Linked DNA regions of Arabidopsis thaliana. The protein of the gene in region 2 interacts with the protein of the main gene of each other region in a pairwise test. Each region holds a gene or a part of one and is shown on either strand. Other genes may lie near its edges.

Region 1 (6,500 bases), on a different chromosome or scaffold from region 2:
AGTTACGATAAAAAGACATGAACACATAAATAACCGTCAGCATTTTAACCAAATGTTGCGATAATAAAATACAACCGTTCAGAAATGCAAAGACAATTTTTTAGATTCATCATAAAGCAAATAATTTATGGTAAAGATCAAATATTTAGAAATTACTTAAGAAGAATGACGAATAGATACAGTTCAACAATTACAAACATTTAAGTAGACAACTATTCGTCAGGAAAGATGCTATGAACAGACACAAACAAAAAATATAATTATCAATATTATAACGAAAAGTTGCAATAAAGAGAAACAACAATTGAAAAATAACCCTAAATATTTTTACTGTGATAAAAAGACGCTAATAGAAAAATTAACTATATTTCAAAAAGTTATGATGAAAAGACACGAATGTAAAAAAATAACCATCGATATTTTAACAGACACAATTTACGATAAAAATACAATTTTACGAAAAGTTGCGATAAAAAGACACTAATGAAAAAAAGGACCGTCAATATTAACCAAAAATAAAGATAAAAAGACACGAATGTAAAAAAAAAAAAACCGTAAATATTCTAATCGACACAACTGTTTACGATAAAAAGATATGAATGAAAAAAAAGTAACCGTCAATATTTTAACAAACACAACTGTTTACGATGAAAATCAGTTTTACGAGAAGTTGCGATAAAAAGACATTAACGAAAAAAATAACTTTCAATGTTAACCAAAAGTTACGATAAAAATATACGAATGTAAAAAAAGTAACCGTCAATCTTTTAACAGACAACTATTTATGATGAAAAGACACGAATGTAGAAAGTAACTGTTAATATTTTAATAGACACAACTGTTTATGATGAAAAGACACGGTTGTAAAAAAAATAATCGTCAATATTTTAACAGACACAACTGTTTATGATGAAAAAATACGAATGTAATAAAGTAACCATCAATATTTTAACAGACACAACTGTTTATGATTAAAAAAATACGAATGTAATAAAGTAACCATCAATATTTTAACAGACACAACTGTTTTCGATGAAAAGACACGATTGTAAAAAAATACCCCCAATATTTTAACAGATACAACTGTTTACGATAAAAAGACAAGACATGAATGCACAAAATATTAAAGGATACATCCAATAAATAGTTTTCAAAATGCATTTAGTGATAGATTTTATCACATTTTAGTATTTTACTTCATATTTGTACAAAATATCACGTAGAACAAACATTCACGAGAAAATATAATTATCAGAAGAAGAAAAAAGTGATTGAATTAAAGAAATTTCAAACTCAAACAAACAGCTCACCATCTTGGCAGTATTTCACCAAACTCAAATAAAAACACTATACATGAAATTAATTCATCAACCTCAGATTATGATACAGAAAATAGATCAGATAAAAAATATAACAATAACAATAAAATAAAATATTGAATATATATGTGGATGATTTATTTTATATGATAATTTTTTCCTCAGAACTTGAAACCGAGGCTGGGCCATTTCTTAGCAGAAGACTCTTTCTTCGGAGGTCTTGCATTTGGATCAATCAGATTCTGGAGCGACTTGGCTTTGTAGTTCCGCGACCGCCCAGCTTCCTTCAAAAGCTCGGCCAAACGTTTCTTCTCGTCTTCAAAATCCGGATTCGCAGTCCCGAGCTTTTCCTCTCTCAGCTTCAGAACCTGCTCTAATATCTCAATCGCATCCTCTATCCTGCAAATTACATAGCCATCACGAAGAAAGACTTTAATGTTTCATTAAGGATGTCTGATCTAATTACATAGTCAGATAGTTTTCTTTAGGACTTTACCTTCCCATAGCGTCATAGGTAGCAGCTAGATTGCTATAAACACCGAGAGTGTCCTGATCGCACGGTCCACGTTCTTGTTCAAGAATACCTCTTGCTTCTTCAAACAGCTCACCCGCTTCATCAATCTTGAAAAGCTGAACGCAGGCTAGTCCCATCTGGTTTAATACAACACCGAAGAAGGCAGATTTCTCACCTGCTGCCCGTAGCTTTGTCACAGCGCTCTCAAACGCGTTTCTTGCGTCCTCGTACCTCCCCACTGTGTAATACATAACTCCCATCCGTGCCTCTAACCCTGCAAATATTTACATACAAAGCAAAACAGATGTAAAGGAAGCTTGACGAGAAGATTGACAATGTCATGCTAAAGACTCGAATTCTTGTACGATCACAATCTACTTCCCTAAAAATACCTCAGATAAGTAATTAGATCTCTTATTTCTAGAATTCTTCGACAATATCACTAACACACAATTACAAATTAGCGTATTGGCTAACTCTAAAACCGGTAGATTCAGAGCAGCAAAACGAGTAAAGTTACTATAAGCGACTTTTCCTTACATGATTAACAATACAAAAATCAGTACTTTACATACAATTCGAGACCAAAATCGCACAATTTCAATACACTGCATAGCAATCCAGCTAAAGGAACATTCATGGTATGGACAAAAAATTTACCTGCAATGGCGCTCTGCTGTCCTGGCTTATCCTCAAGCAATTTCATAGACTTCTGAAGTAGCTTCAATGCTTCCTCAGGTTCATCTACAGACTCATAAATAGCAGAAATCTCAGTTAATCCACCAGCAATCTCCTCCACAGTTGTCCCAGGCACCGGCTTATTGTATATCCTCAACGCATTCTCACAGTAAGACTTAGACTCACGAAGTTTCCCTGTTCTATGGTAAAGCTCAGCCAATCTAACAAACACTGACGCAACCGTCGGATGAGTCTCTCCTTTAGAAGCCTTAAACACAGTAAGAGCCTTCTGATATGAAAACACAGCTTCATCAAACCGGCACAGCGACATGTAAATATTCCCAATACTAACATCAATCGATGCAACCTCAGATTCTTGTCCACTCGCAATCATAGCCATACTAGCAAGAACAAGATGCTCAAGAGCGTTTTCATAATCTCCTTTAGCCTCGCAGATAATTGCCATCAATCTCCTATCAGCTGCTTCCTCCAGTGAAGCAGGTTCACTATGCGCTCGGTGAATCTCTAGAGTCTTCTTGCATAACTCTTCCGCTTTATTGAACTGCATTGCTTGAACATATGCTTCTGCTAAGTACCTGAAAATTATCAGAGACTTCAGAAACTTAGATCTAACCTATATAGTAACTTTTAGCAAACGTAATCTAAGAGTTTAATTAACCATTAAATGCTTAGTTAAGAGAACCTGCAAGTTTCACCAACTCGTGGATCAGTATCACCCAAAGTCTGGATCTGGATCTTAAGACCTTCTTCATAACAAGCAATAGATCTATCAATCTGACCAAGCATAGACAACGTATCACCAAGTTGCATATGACCAGAAAACGCAGCGAGAGAGTGGTCAGGGCCACGAGTCGGATCAGGGACTTGAATAGCTCGTTCAAGAGGTGGTACAGCTTCATCAAATCGGCCGAGACTACAGTAAATAGCAGCGAGAACATGAAGGCTCATAGCGAGATCAAGAACAGGTCCACCATCGCTACCACCGGGAATAGGCGGAGCAACGGCGGCGCAACATCTCTCAAAGGACTTAGTTGCTCGGATCGCGTAATCTAATGCTTTGTTAGGACCTTCACCAGAAGCAATAGCGTCACGAGCTAATTTTAGAAGGAAAGGACCGAGATCTGGATTATCTAGAGATGGATCGTCGACGTCGATTACGGCTGCGGTGGAGGAGGATACGGTTGGGGAATCTTTTTTGCCGGTGGATCTATTTGGTGATGGTTTGGATCGAGATGGTGTAGAGGAAGGGGTTTTCTTCATCGGAGTTCGCGGCGGGTTTGAGAGAGGTTGCGTGTCTGGTACGGCTACACGTAGCGGCGGTGTATCGGAAGGAGTTTTGACTGAGACGAGACCTGGCATTGCTGGCATGAATGTGTCTCTCTGTGGGAAGTGGGAGAGAGAGAGAGAGTTATGGCGGATTTGGTTTTGGATCGGACTTTTGAGATCCAAGTGGAGAAGGAGACGAGTCAGTCAGTGAAAGAGGTAAGGGTAGTTTCGTAATTAAGTTTTAGATTGGAGGAGATAACGGTCATGTTGTGTTGGAAAATATTGGTGATAGATTATTAAATAAAAAAACTTTTCTTACACACAAAAAAAACAAACTAAAATAGATTTTGTACTTAGTGACGACAAGTGATAGATAGATTTTACAAGATAGATAAGTTTGCATGACAAGATTTGTACTGTTCTGAATCAGAATTTCTGATGAATTGTTCTCAATCTAAAATTTTATGAACTCACAAATTTAGATAGTAAATTAAATTAGAGAAGAGAGTTAAAAAAAGTAATGCAATCTAAGTTTTCATTTTACAATAAATTGAATATAAATCTTTTTTATGATGTGTATATTGAAATGGAGATAGTTGAGCATTTATCCACTTTTTACCATATGGTTTATGGTTTCAGTATTTAGAATGTAGGTTTTTTTTTTTTCTTTTTTTCCAACAAACAGAATTTATTTATATGAGTAAATCTTTACAAAGAGAGTTTTTGAGCCAAAGTGGCTGATAACCAGAATTCGATTGAAACTTGTAACACGAATAAAGTGGAGAAGCTAAGAGGTGAGCAGTATTATTACAGAGTCTATTTGTGAAAGTGAAAACCACAGTAGAAAATCTTGATGCCCAAAAATCCACATCTCGGAGAAGACTGGTTATTTCACATCTAGAAATTGCACCATTAATTGCCTTGATAAGGATCTCACAATCACCTTCGAACTGAACACACTTATACCCTCGTACCCATGCTTGTTGCATTGCGATTAATAACGCTTTTGTCTCAGCTTCCAAAGCAGTGGTACCATTTTAGACTATTGATGATCCCCAAGCCTTCGCTAATCCTGCATGATCACGTATGATCCACCCTCCCGTACTCTGAGTATTATTACCCGTGAAACCCGCATCGAAGTTGCACTTTACTAAAGGAAAGACCGGTTTCTTCCACCGCACGTTTGCCCTGTGTGATGATCGTGTTAAAACGGAAGCGTCCTCTCTTCGGTTCACACTTTGTAACCATTCATTGACTTCTGCTTCAGTTTGTGTCACAACCCTTGAGCAACTTTCACTGAACTTATTAAACACAAGATTATTGCGTGCTTTCCATAATCTCCATATGAGCCAAAATGGGGCCAACCTTTGCTCTGTATTCAGAGTATTGTTTGAAAAAGAATTGATAAGGAAAGAAATATTCTCCTCTGTGTCTTGAGAGAAAGTATGACCCGGTAACCAAGGGAAGTTTGATAGACCCCAAATTGACGCAGCATAAGGACACGTAAATAAAACATGGTTTATCGTCTCTTCTTCAGTTGGGCATCTGGGGCAGTGTGGATCGATGTCCATTCCTCGAGTGAGAAGTCGCGAGCGTGTTGGTAATGCTTTTGAGATTGTACGCCAAAGCATGTACTTGATTTTTGGAATAATAGGGAGTTTCCAAAGCTTGTTCTTAATTTCCACTGAACCATGAGGCACCACTGGTCTAACCTAAATATTCGTTGGGTCATTAAAGAGAAACCAGTACCCGGACTTAACTGTATAATCCCCAGAAGAAGAGTAGTTCCAAACTAGCTTATCTTGATGCACAATCCTGGAAAGATGATGGTTCATAACAAAACGGTGGTCGTCGGGACTAACAAGCTGAGAAATGAGATGTGCGTTCCAATACCTATACGAACCCTGAGTTGAGATTAACGTATCCACCGTGATATCCAACGTAGGAGTGACGACGTTGAGAGGTCGTGGAGGGTGCGATGCAATAAAATTATCTTGACTGATTCAAACGGTTTTGCCATCTCCGACAATGAATCTGCTTCCTTTTTTAATTACATCTAAACCCGCAAGCATAGAAGTCCATCCGTAAGATTGATATCTCTGCCTTTTAGCGTCCAGAATAGAGTCTTCTCTAAAGTATCTTGCTTTCATTATTCGGGCAAATAAAGAATTTGGGTTGTTAATCATCCGCCATACTTGTTTTGCAAGTAAAGCGTCATTGAATTTAGCCAAATCTCTAAACCCTAAACCACCTTCCTTTTTCGAGTATTGTAATCTCTTCCAAGCTATCCATGGTATTTCTCTTTTTTTTGCATTCTTTTCCCACCAGAAATTCATTAAAAGAGCTTCAATCTCCGAAACGATATTCAATGGTAATTTGAAGCAAGACATTGCATACACCGGCATCGACATCGCCACTGATTTTAACATAATTTCTTTTCCTGCCGGTGATAAATATTTCGCACTCCAACTGGATGTTCGTTTCTTTACTCTTTCAATGATATAGTTGAACATGTCTCGTTTTTTCCGCCCAAATTGCTCCGGGAGCCCAAGATATTTCCCACCTCCACCATGACTTTGTATACCAAGAATGTTTTTGAGACGATTTTGAGTGGTGCCATGTACTCGTGAACCAAACGTTATCATTGATTTGGACATATTAATTTTTTGGCCCGAATAGTACTCATAAACATCAAAGACATC
Region 2 (4,694 bases):
TTTTATCCACCTCTAGCCTGTCAATTGCACCAGCGGTTGCACCTTCTAACCATCAGCATTTGTTGATACACCAAAAGCAGCGCAATCAAGTGCAATCAACAGCTCAGAGAGTTGTTCAACATAATCATCTAGGGAACTCTGAGTTATCAAAGAAGTCCCAAGCTGAATGTATGCCACGTGTTCCACAGTCTGTAACCAATACCACCCAAACTGCTAGTATGGGTACGACCAAGGGTATGCCTCAAGCGAGTAATGATTTGAAAAACATAAAAGCAGTTGGTTCTACTGCGGTGCCTGCTTTGGAACCTCCATCTTGTGTTGCTTCTGTGCAAAGCACTGCTTCGAAAGTAGTAAACAATTCCAATACAGATTCAGCAGGAAATGATCCAGTATCAACACCGAACCAAGGACTAGCTCAAAAGCACGGGATCAAGGGCGTTACACAGAGACAACAACAGTCTCTACCTTCAGAAGAAAAGAGACCGAAATTGCCAGAGAAGCCGACTGTACAAAATCAGAAACACCTTGCTTCTGAGGAGCAGCCTCATTTAGAAGAAGCACAAGAATTATCATCTTCCAAGCCTCCTGATACAAAAGTGGAATGAGAGGCATGACAGATGAACCTAGAACCTTGAGTAGCTGTAGATCCTGCAAAGCTTAACGCTGGCCCTTACCGACAACAACCCTGTACAGGAACCCAAACTGGTTTGTGTCCTCCACCTTCAGAGTCGGGTCTCTTTTTGGCATTAACATCTTGAAGCTGCTGGTGGTCTTTGGATTTGGCTGAGAGTATAACATAACAAACTCTACAGATTGTGGAGTTTGCAGATTTGGTAAGGCCAGAGGGAGATCAATAGGGAAGAAGTTGGTGGATAGGATAAAATTCATGCAGGTCTTTTTGCCTCTTTTGATGAACACAAAGAGAAGAAGGTATATCATAATGTAAATTACCCACTTGCATCATAGAGAAGTAGTCTCTTCTTCTTCCCATCTTTTGGTTTGGGAGAGAGTAGAAACAGTTTATAATGTTTTGTATAGAAGTCTCTACTCCTCCATCCTTGTGGCATATACTTAGGGCCCTTTTTTAACCTTTTCCTCTAACTTATTCTCTTGTAGGTTTAGGTTAATTTGATGAATGTATCATTGTTCTTTTATGGTTAAAAAAAAAGTTCACTTCACTCCCATAAACATTAGCTTACATAGTGCATTTCTTCAAATCCGTTACCTATGTTACAAATCTAAAAGCAACAATGACTAAATCTCTACGTTAGAAAGAATCAAAAGCATTGTTGATAAATTGAAGAAGCTGAGTTTGAGAACTCTGAATCAAATTGATTCTACGAATCTCCATTTCCTTACGAAGTCTCACAGTCTCTTTAGCAAACTCAATCTTCTTCTTCTCCATTACCATTACTCTCTCAGCAAACGCCCTAATCTCCGCTGCAACGGCTCGCATTCCTTTCCTCCGCCTCTCACCACCGTCTCCATCGTTCCTCTTCCTCTTCGATGATCTCTCTTTTTGTCCCCATGACAACAATCCTCCACCAACTCCAGCAAATCTGTTAACAGTTCCAGGTCTTCTCAATATGTAATTAATACTCCTCGATTTGCTCTGTCTCTCATCTTCTTCTTCCTCTTCTTCGTAGTTATTGTTATCCTCTTCTTCATCTTCTTCTTCGTCGTCTACGTAGCGATTATTCGAATTAGGAGGAAGACGAGTGAGAGGACGAGCTGAGATCGGAGCAGGATTTGAAGAATCCAATTCCTCCATTTGATTATAGAAAGGCCAAATTGAGATAGGTCCCATACTCTGTCTCTCAGATCGGAATCTTTTACGCATCTTCTCGATCTTATGCCTACACTGTGTAGATGTCCGTTCAACGCCGGAACGAGATGAGGCAGCAACGGCGATCTCTTCCCAGTGAGTTGATTTTAGAGGACCACGACCAATTGCGAACCATTTCTCTTTGTATGATTCGATTAAGAGGAGGGTCTCGTCTTGAGTCCAGAGAACAGGTTGGGTTTTTCTGGCGACGGCGGAGGTTGATGCGGCTAAAGCTACGACGGTGGTGTGCGGTGGTGGAGAGGATGGATTCGTGGGTTGAGGAGGAGAGGGTGGTTGTTTCTGATGCGGCGGAGTAGCGGCAGAATTAGGGTTTGAATCAGAGGGAGGAGAGGAGGTCGGCGAAGGCGTCGCCATGGTTTAGTGTAACAATGTTAATTGGTGCTTCGGATTTTGTCAGTTTAACTCCAACTCGGATCTTTGGGCTTTTTTTGTCTTCTTGTTGATTTTTTAAATTTTGGGCCCAACAAAAATTTACTAGACCAACCCACTTAGAGGAAGTAAAAATTTACTTCTCTTTTTTTACTCAGAGGAAGTAAAAAGTATCGGAGGAACAAAAGAGATAAACTCATGCAGAACTCCTTTACTTATTCAACACAATAGTCTAACTTGTAGGGATTCATTGAAGAGAAATTGACTAATTCTTCCTAACAACTGACAAGTAGAACAAGGAGAAGCAACTTTTCTCCATGAAACAAACCAAGAGTTTGAGGTGATGCCTTAGCATTCTTCGAAACAATCAATCACTTCAGCATATTTGGTGAGCAAGTTTATACCCGAGAGAAAGCCCAAATATGTTTACTGGGTTTATATTCAGATAGTCTTAGCTAAAGTCGATCTAATCACTTCACCATATGTTTTTTTGTTATTCTGTATCAGATCATCTAGAAAGGATTGTGTTCTTCCCGCGACGAAAAATTCCCTGGAGGCTTCGATAAAGATGGTCTTGCTTTTGCTGCAAACAGCAAAACAGCTTATGTGGTCAGCCACTACTGCAGTTATCTCTGTTTTTCAACCAGCCTTCCAAGTTGTGCCTAGGCAAACCTGCGTTGATGAGATCCTCCTCTCATTTTCTCTCTAATCGTTTCTCATCCTCTTCACTGCAATTTCCTCCTTCTTCCATCAACGGCTGCTAAGTGAGCAAAACGAACAAAAAATTTAGTTGGAATATGACAAGAGATGAGCGTGATGTCTCTCACATGTAATATATATGGTTTGAGGGTGAAGTAATAGTAGCAATGCAGACTTCGGATATGAGATTCAAATATAATCAGGTTTCAGCTTGGAAGTTTCTGCAGTGTCTTGGCCAGCACGAATGCATTCCCTGTGTTAAAGGACGTCGTACTTATTCAAGTGGCAGAAGGAAGCAATTGTAGCAAAACCTGTCATTGGCAACAAATTTTGTTCCTGATTTGATCATTTAGTAGAAACCTGTCACTTAGTAGAAAACAACCCTGGTTTTGATTGTATTGAGCATTTCTCATGAATGTACCATAACATGTAACCTTTTCACAATTGGATCAATGTCATCACACAAAATTAGACTTTGAGATATATTACAAGAAATCGAAAGGTAACTAAAGTAGACCAAACAACAAACCAGATTCATGTCAAAAGTGCTAAGTACATACGATTATAATGATCTGAAACAATAGAAGGAACAAGTTACTAAGAAGAAAGAGGAACCCAAGTTTCTTTAGTTTAACTCTTTCAAGAAATTACTAGACAAAAGAATCTTCAGAATCTCCTGAAAATCACTGTGCGTGTTAATCAACCAAGTTATAGTCACAAGACTCACAACAGACATAAGATACTTAGCAGAGACAGAGAGCAAGAGAAGAGCTACTCTGTTCCATGGCAAAGCAAAGGACTCCACGACACCTGAACGACCAAACACTAATGTTGTCGCCTTCTTTCAATCCGTTAGCCTCAACGACATCGTTCCACCCACAAATCAGATTGTAGTTCCAGCTTCCTTTTCCTGATTCCTTCTTCAGCTCCCATCTTTTCAACATCACACCCCACTTTACAGACCGTTGATCCACGAGAATCGCTCCCACTCCAATCTTCTTATTGTTGTTGATGTCTTCCTTTATGATTCTGGACTCCACAGACGTCAAGAAATCGTTTTGGAGTAAGTTGTTGAACGGCATTGAGAGACGGTTCTGTGTTGGGTTTATATCAGTCACAAACAGAGTCTTCTCAAAGATCAGTTTAGCATCTTTGGCTTCTTTCATGTCTCTCATCACCTTGACAAGCCACTTAGGCGTATCTCTCGCTGTCCCTGGAAAAGGAGCAACCTTTGCCTTCTTGAATCCACCGGTACGTTTCCTCTCTTCCACAGCACGTCTCTTGCGGCTTGTGTTCCCCGTTAGGCACAAAGACAGAGGGTTTGGTGGGTCTTTCGTCTCCATCTTTTCCGACTCAGCCATCTTGTAATCAGAGAGTACGAGTGATGAACAAAGTTCAGAACTAGGGTTTTGTAGGGTTTTCGCCTCCATCTTCTCGGACTCAGCCGTTTTGTAATCAAAGAGTACGAGTGAAGTGCAAGGTTCAGAACTAGAGTTTTGTAGGGTTTTCATCTGGGAATCAGAGGTTTGTGGGTCTTCGATCTCAGAATCAGTCGGCAACTGGTTAAGATCGATAAGCGATGAAGAAGTAAAAGAGATAAAACCACCATTAAGCTTTTGTTGTCTCTTCACCAAAGACGATCTTTTTCTTCTCGGGAAGAGACAAAATATTCTCTTCTGGCTTTCTTCTTCAGATACGATCTTGCCACGACGTTGTATCTCATCATATAACAAAACCGCCGCATCCACCAGTCCATAGAACTTCGACCACAGGCCCTTCC
Region 3 (5,861 bases), on a different chromosome or scaffold from region 2:
AGAAAGAAATCTACGTAAAACTAGAAACAAAAATTAAATGCAAAATAATGATTCATGAGAGTTGATTTTCATCTATATTTAACAATGACATTTTGTTCTAATTAAAAAAGAAATAATAATTGGTAAGTTTAATAATATATTATTTAGATATTCTATATATTTTAATTAATTTGAAGAAAAACTTCAATTAGAAAAAGTAAAAATATATGGAAAATCATAAAATTTCTTGTATTTATATTTGATGATGAGATCAAACAAAAGTAAAGAAAAAATAGTAAATTTTATTGTTAATTATTACTATTATTTTGTTATTATTTATTATTATTTTAATTTTTGTTTTTGTTGTTCTTTAACAAAACAAAAAAAAATATTGTTTGGTATTTTGGTGAAATCAAACAAAACTGAAAGCGGAATAAGTACGTAGAAGATGCGGTGCTGGGGTTTATGAGGAAAACGAACGTACGCTTGATTGTTTGCCAAATCTTGCGGTTGAGATAGTTACATGTGTCTCTAGTGAAATGGTTGCGGTTGAGAAGGAGTTGCGGTGAAGCAAAAGCGCATCAGTTATCACTATCAGTGATGACTCATCAAAAAACCGGTAAAATCAGATAAAACGCCGTTTGTTGTGTAGGCAATGAACCAAACAGTTCCAAACATTTTTATACGATGTCCTCAGGAACTAGTATATAGTATGGTGACGTTTAAAGCAACTCCTACGATGCCGTTTAGAGCAAGTTGATACGATGCTTACGCAACTTGATACGACGTCGGTTTTTCACATAGGACATGTTGTAAAGCAAGTGAGGACGACACCCTTTGGAGCTTTTGTCTCCTTACGATCATCTCCTTCTTCTATGGTTATGGGCGTTCGTACTCAGAACAGGAAAAAGCGAGCTCTTCAGTGTTTATCGACCCATATATACACATATATAGTAAGCTCATGACTTTGCAAAGTTACATAACTCACCAACCAGAGAAATTGAAAGGAATCACTGATTGAAGGACAAACACAGGCCTTTTTAAATAAGCTTCATGTAGCTACAGAGACAATCTCAATATGATACAGACCAAACAGGAAACAATAACACAGTGCTCAAAAATAGTAGAAAGATAAACACACAAAGCATTTTTTTTAAGAGCACGTTTCTCTGCTTGCAAACACAGATAATAGAAAGTTCCACACCACAGAGAGATGGAAGACGCTAAAGATCAAGCACGCTTTCATTCGACCTTATATAAAACCTTTTTAACATGAGAATACTTGAACCAGACACAGACAGGAGAAGGAAACACCAGGCCACCTGATGAAACCAGAGAAGTTTACTTAGATTTTCAGATTTTGTCAAGCTTCTCTGCTTTCACAACCGGGTTTGCCTTAGCTATCGCCTCTTGCGCAGCAGCATGGTAATTGAAGGAGCAGTCATGTACGTCTGCATAGCGGTGTGTTCCGCAGAAGAGGCTCCCACAGCGACATTTGAATCCAGTCAGGCCAACCCGCTTATTGCAAGTAGTACATCGGCTTGGTCCCTTTGGTTTCGCAGCTTCTTCTGGTGCTACTACCTCTGCAACGACTTGGACAGAGGATGGCTGTACAGAAACAGTCATCGGCTCAACGGATTTGGTTTCAATATCGACCAACGCAGCGGTAAAGGTTTCCTTTATGATGTTGCTGGATGACGATGTTCCAGACACTGCAGATGCAAACTTAGCGCCCTGCTCCTGTTGGAACAACATATCCTTGTGACACTTAGAACACATGTTCATTGTGGCAGCGCTTCCAAAGAAACCGCAGTTGTTAGTACATAGCTTGGGACCTTCAGGTGGGCTTTGGCATCCTGTCTTGTCGTGGTCCATTTCTACATTTAAAATCAGCCATCTTCAGTCTCAGTGACATGGAAAAATAAAACAAAAATTCGCAGAAGATTCACGATGATGAGTACATTTAAACCCAATCAGTATCATCAGTTGCCTTAGAAAATCAGTGCAAAACATACACATGAAAATAAGCAGATGAACAATTCTTTTCATGAAATAACTTATCTGGATACCTTACACATGATCTTCATAGTTTATAACCACACTACCTATAAGCACCTTCCTATAATTCAGGATCTTTAACTAAATAGAAAGAAGAGAACAAAAGCAAGCCTAGAGCCATTTCTCTGCTAACTCTAGAACCTGAAACAGACAAACAAATCTTGCTGACCTGTTTTCTAACAATAAGCTACCCAACCAAACAGAAGTGTCTAGGTTACCTAGCACCTAGTACCACATTCATTAGGCAAATTAGAATCATAAATGAATCATTTTAAAAACATTAGAGCAGCTAATCTTATTTCTATCCAACACTACTTAGAAATTAGCCTCTTATATCAGCGTAAAGCTATAAACTTTCAAAGCAATTCATTTCAAGCTTCTAAAACATGCAAAACTCACATACTAATCTAATTTCCATCTAACACTACCTTTCTTAGGTTACAACTTTTCATAGCAATTCATTTCAAAATTCAAAAGCATACAAAACCCACATAGCTAATATCACTCATATCCAACACTACCTCTCTCCACAGAAATGAAAATTTTCAAAACTTAGCCTTTTAAATCAACAAAAACAAGAGTTACAACTTTTCACATCAATTCATTCAAATTTCCAAACACACACAAAACCCACATGCAAATATAACCAAACAATCAAATCATTAAACAATCGAGAACCATAAAAAAGAATTCACATCAACAGCTTACAAATGAACCCTAAATAAAACCAAATCCCAAAAGCTAATTCACCTGTTTGCCCTTGAAGCCTTGATAGATCGGTCCCTAATCAATAAAAAAGAGACAAAAACAGAACACATAAGTTGACCGAACAAAGGCCTCCCACACAAAGGAGGAATCGAATCGAAATGGAAATGAAATTAGAAAACAAAATCGAGACCCAGAAAAGATTATAAAGGTGAAAGCAAAATAGAGAAGAAGAGAAACCCTTTACCCTACGAATCTCTCCGAACAAGATCGTGTCTGCTGGAGAGATCCAGCAGAAGCTGAGAGGTAGAGGAGAGAAAGAAAGAAAAAAGGTCGGCTTTTTAGGCTTTTTTTTGGTTTGTCTCGACGATTTTTTTTGTAGCGACGTTTATATTTTCGTTTCACACCGTTTGTGCTAGAGTCGGCTATGACGTGTACGTATCTTATTGGCTCTGCTTTTGATTTTTTTACTCATTTCAAATTTCAATTCATTTTACTTTTTTGAAAAAAAGAGTTAAGGCTTCCAAATGTTAACTCGCTTTTTTGAAACGGAATTAGACACTACATTTTTCAAGAACAATTAGTTAATTACCAATAGTTTGAAAATGATATTAAGCTTTTTGGTTAATATCTAGAATATAATATATTCTTTTTCCAGTTTTATTATGGTTATTGTTTGACAAGTGTTTGTAAACTTCTTAATTAATAATAATCTTTTATATTTTAAAAATTTATATATTAAGAGGAGATGGGTAACATAGTTGTTGAGGGAAGAATTGGGCTTCCTCCAATTCAGGTTTTAATTGGAATAAACTCAAGGAATGGACAATGTCCAATAATAATTAAGGTAATTGGGTCTATTTTCAACTTAAAATTCGTTTGGAAGAAAACCTAATCGATGAGTTAGCGTCTATAAAAAGCCGAAACCATGTCAATAGGTCGGAAGGTAGATCCACCAATTTACTTTGACATATGTCCTATCTTGGTTCTTATAAATACAAAATAGCAAGTCTTGTCACAAGATCTACACTTTATGTTGACATAGAGAGAGTGCACTATTAGCTCGTCCTCAAACCCATCGAGCTTGTCCAATATTAGTCAGCTCGTTTTATATGTCGTTTGGTCCGCCTCTTGTTCATACTAGTCGTTTCAACAGGACAACCCTTATAATTCGTTCACTTCTCCTAAATTCGGACTCGTTTGATTAAAGAAAGATTCTTCTTACTTTTTTAGGGATTTTTATTTTCTTACTAATGTGTTTTGTGCATCATCCATAATTTCGCATATTAATTTATGTAGTATGACATATAAATTAATGTTAATAGGTGATAGTATATGTTATGAATCTAATTTTGTGCTAGAGAGATACATAGCATACAATATATATGTAACTCATAATATATAATTTCATTCCTTATGTAAACTGAGAATTAAAATCATCCATACATTGCTATTAAATTATATTTTTGTGAGATTTCTACAAATTTGAATAGAATTTTTTTGAGTAATGTAATGAAAAATTACAGATTATGTGATCATTAGTGTTATTGATAATGGATTGTGTATCAACAACCACTTATATAATTTTGGTGATAATTGCCAATTAAACAAGATTCTTTCTCGAAGAAGTATCCGACAAGAAGATCTAGCTATGTTTAGCAAATTTTAATGGATGCAAGATAACTCATAAGCAATTGTATTATATGAATAATAGATAATTCATGAAATGAAGTCAGAGTCTTGAAATAATTTTTCTCCTACCACTAAACAACTTCTTCAAAGACATATTGGAGCCACTCACATCCTACTATGAATATCTATGATCTCATTTTTCTAGATAAGAGGCTATAAATTTGACAGAGATTTAAGCAATTGTTAGACAACAAAATTATTAATAAAAGAATGGTTCTTATTAGTTCAAGTATCTACAATGGAGCATATACAATCTCATGGATCACATCTATGAGAAATATATACGGTTGTATATAGTTATAAACTATATAAAACTACAGTTTCACTTCTCTAGTTTATGTTTATTTTATTTTAAAGTCTTAGCAATCATTTTAGCAAAAAAATTATCTAACTATTTTGAGACGGTAATCATTCCAAAAATCAAGTATTTTTGTTTAAATGTCACAATACAAGAGTCTCTTTGTTCTGAAGAGTTGTATACTAAACAATTGTAAGCTGATCTAACATGCGAGTTTTATAAAGACATGTCTAAGGATAATCAAAGTATGGTTTCCTAATGTAAATAATAAGAGATATTTTTAAATTACCACTAATTATTTCTCCTACGGATGATCAACTCTTTAAAAAATATCAATTATTAACTTTACTTTCTTTCTGAAAGTCAACAACCAAGACTTTTTTTTTTGTGTGCAACTCAACAACAAAGACTATTCTTACATTATACACATAATATGTACCTGCATATCCGTGTACTTCAATTGAATCGATCAAAAATGCTAAAACTTCCCTTGTGTCTCTTAGATTTGTAAAGTCTAGTACTTGTAACATTATCATTAATTGTAAGCACTACAAAAATCAGAGAAAATACATACTTTTGGGTTTGAGCAATACTTGTATTTCACTGTCTATTCTCTAAAATCATAAGCCAAAAGCATTTTGTTTGGCTATTCAACAAGTTAAAATGCTAGTTTATTTCTTTGTCATTTTTCAAAGTGAATTGAACTCCTTAATTAGTCAGTTATATATGAAACAAAGAATACAATATATGTTATTTGTTTTACTTTACATGCAATTTTGAAAAACAGAATATTATACAGTTATGTGAATAGTTATCTAAGAAGCTTTCTCTTAACAGGTTAAGTCCTTGATTGTCGATTTTAGTATGGAAAAAATCAATGTCAGTAAAAAATAAATCCATTTGTTGATTAACAAGCATGTAAGCTATACAATCATACCTTGAAGGGGTAGAATCATTTCTCACCGAGAAATAGTCTTCTGAAAGTGATGATTTGATTAAAATCTCTAAGAATGATCCAAGATTTGGTGTTTGGAGAAGTGGAGGAAGTTATACACTACTAATTTCGTACAACGTTTTGTTCTACCAGCATTTTTTTTATAGATCAATGCAACAGTGAAATGAATGTTAT

The links.
Region 1: the proteins of AT3G24860 (region 2) and KLCR1 interact in a two-hybrid assay, tested with the Arabidopsis thaliana proteins (one large-scale study listed by BioGRID).
Region 3: the proteins of AT3G24860 (region 2) and AT1G51200 interact in a two-hybrid assay, tested with the Arabidopsis thaliana proteins (one large-scale study listed by BioGRID).

What each region holds. Positions count from the first base shown.
Region 1 is NC_003075.7:6,654,014-6,660,513, reverse strand, and holds KLCR1 (Tetratricopeptide repeat (TPR)-like superfamily protein), read right to left. Parts: upstream 4,141-6,500; 5' UTR 3,901-4,140; coding exon 3,215-3,900; intron 3,108-3,214; coding exon 2,494-3,107; intron 2,108-2,493; coding exon 1,816-2,107; coding exon of another isoform or gene 1,812-1,815; exon of another isoform or gene 1,719-1,811; coding exon 1,481-1,718; 3' UTR 1,249-1,480; downstream 1-1,248.
Region 2 is NC_003074.8:9,071,148-9,075,841, reverse strand, and holds AT3G24860 (Homeodomain-like superfamily protein), read right to left. Parts: upstream 2,220-4,694; 5' UTR 2,201-2,219; coding exon 1,268-2,200; 3' UTR 1,160-1,267; downstream 1-1,159. Other genes in the region: AT3G24870 (Helicase/SANT-associated, DNA binding protein), read left to right, coding at 1-605; AT3G24850 (B3 domain protein (DUF313)), read right to left, coding at 3,658-4,694.
Region 3 is NC_003070.9:18,981,683-18,987,543, reverse strand, and holds AT1G51200 (A20/AN1-like zinc finger family protein), read right to left. Parts: upstream 3,264-5,861; 5' UTR 2,990-3,263; exon of another isoform or gene 2,821-2,989; 5' UTR 2,788-2,820; intron 1,857-2,787; 5' UTR 1,855-1,856; coding exon 1,333-1,854; 3' UTR 910-1,332; downstream 1-909. UniProt on the Arabidopsis thaliana protein: May be involved in environmental stress response.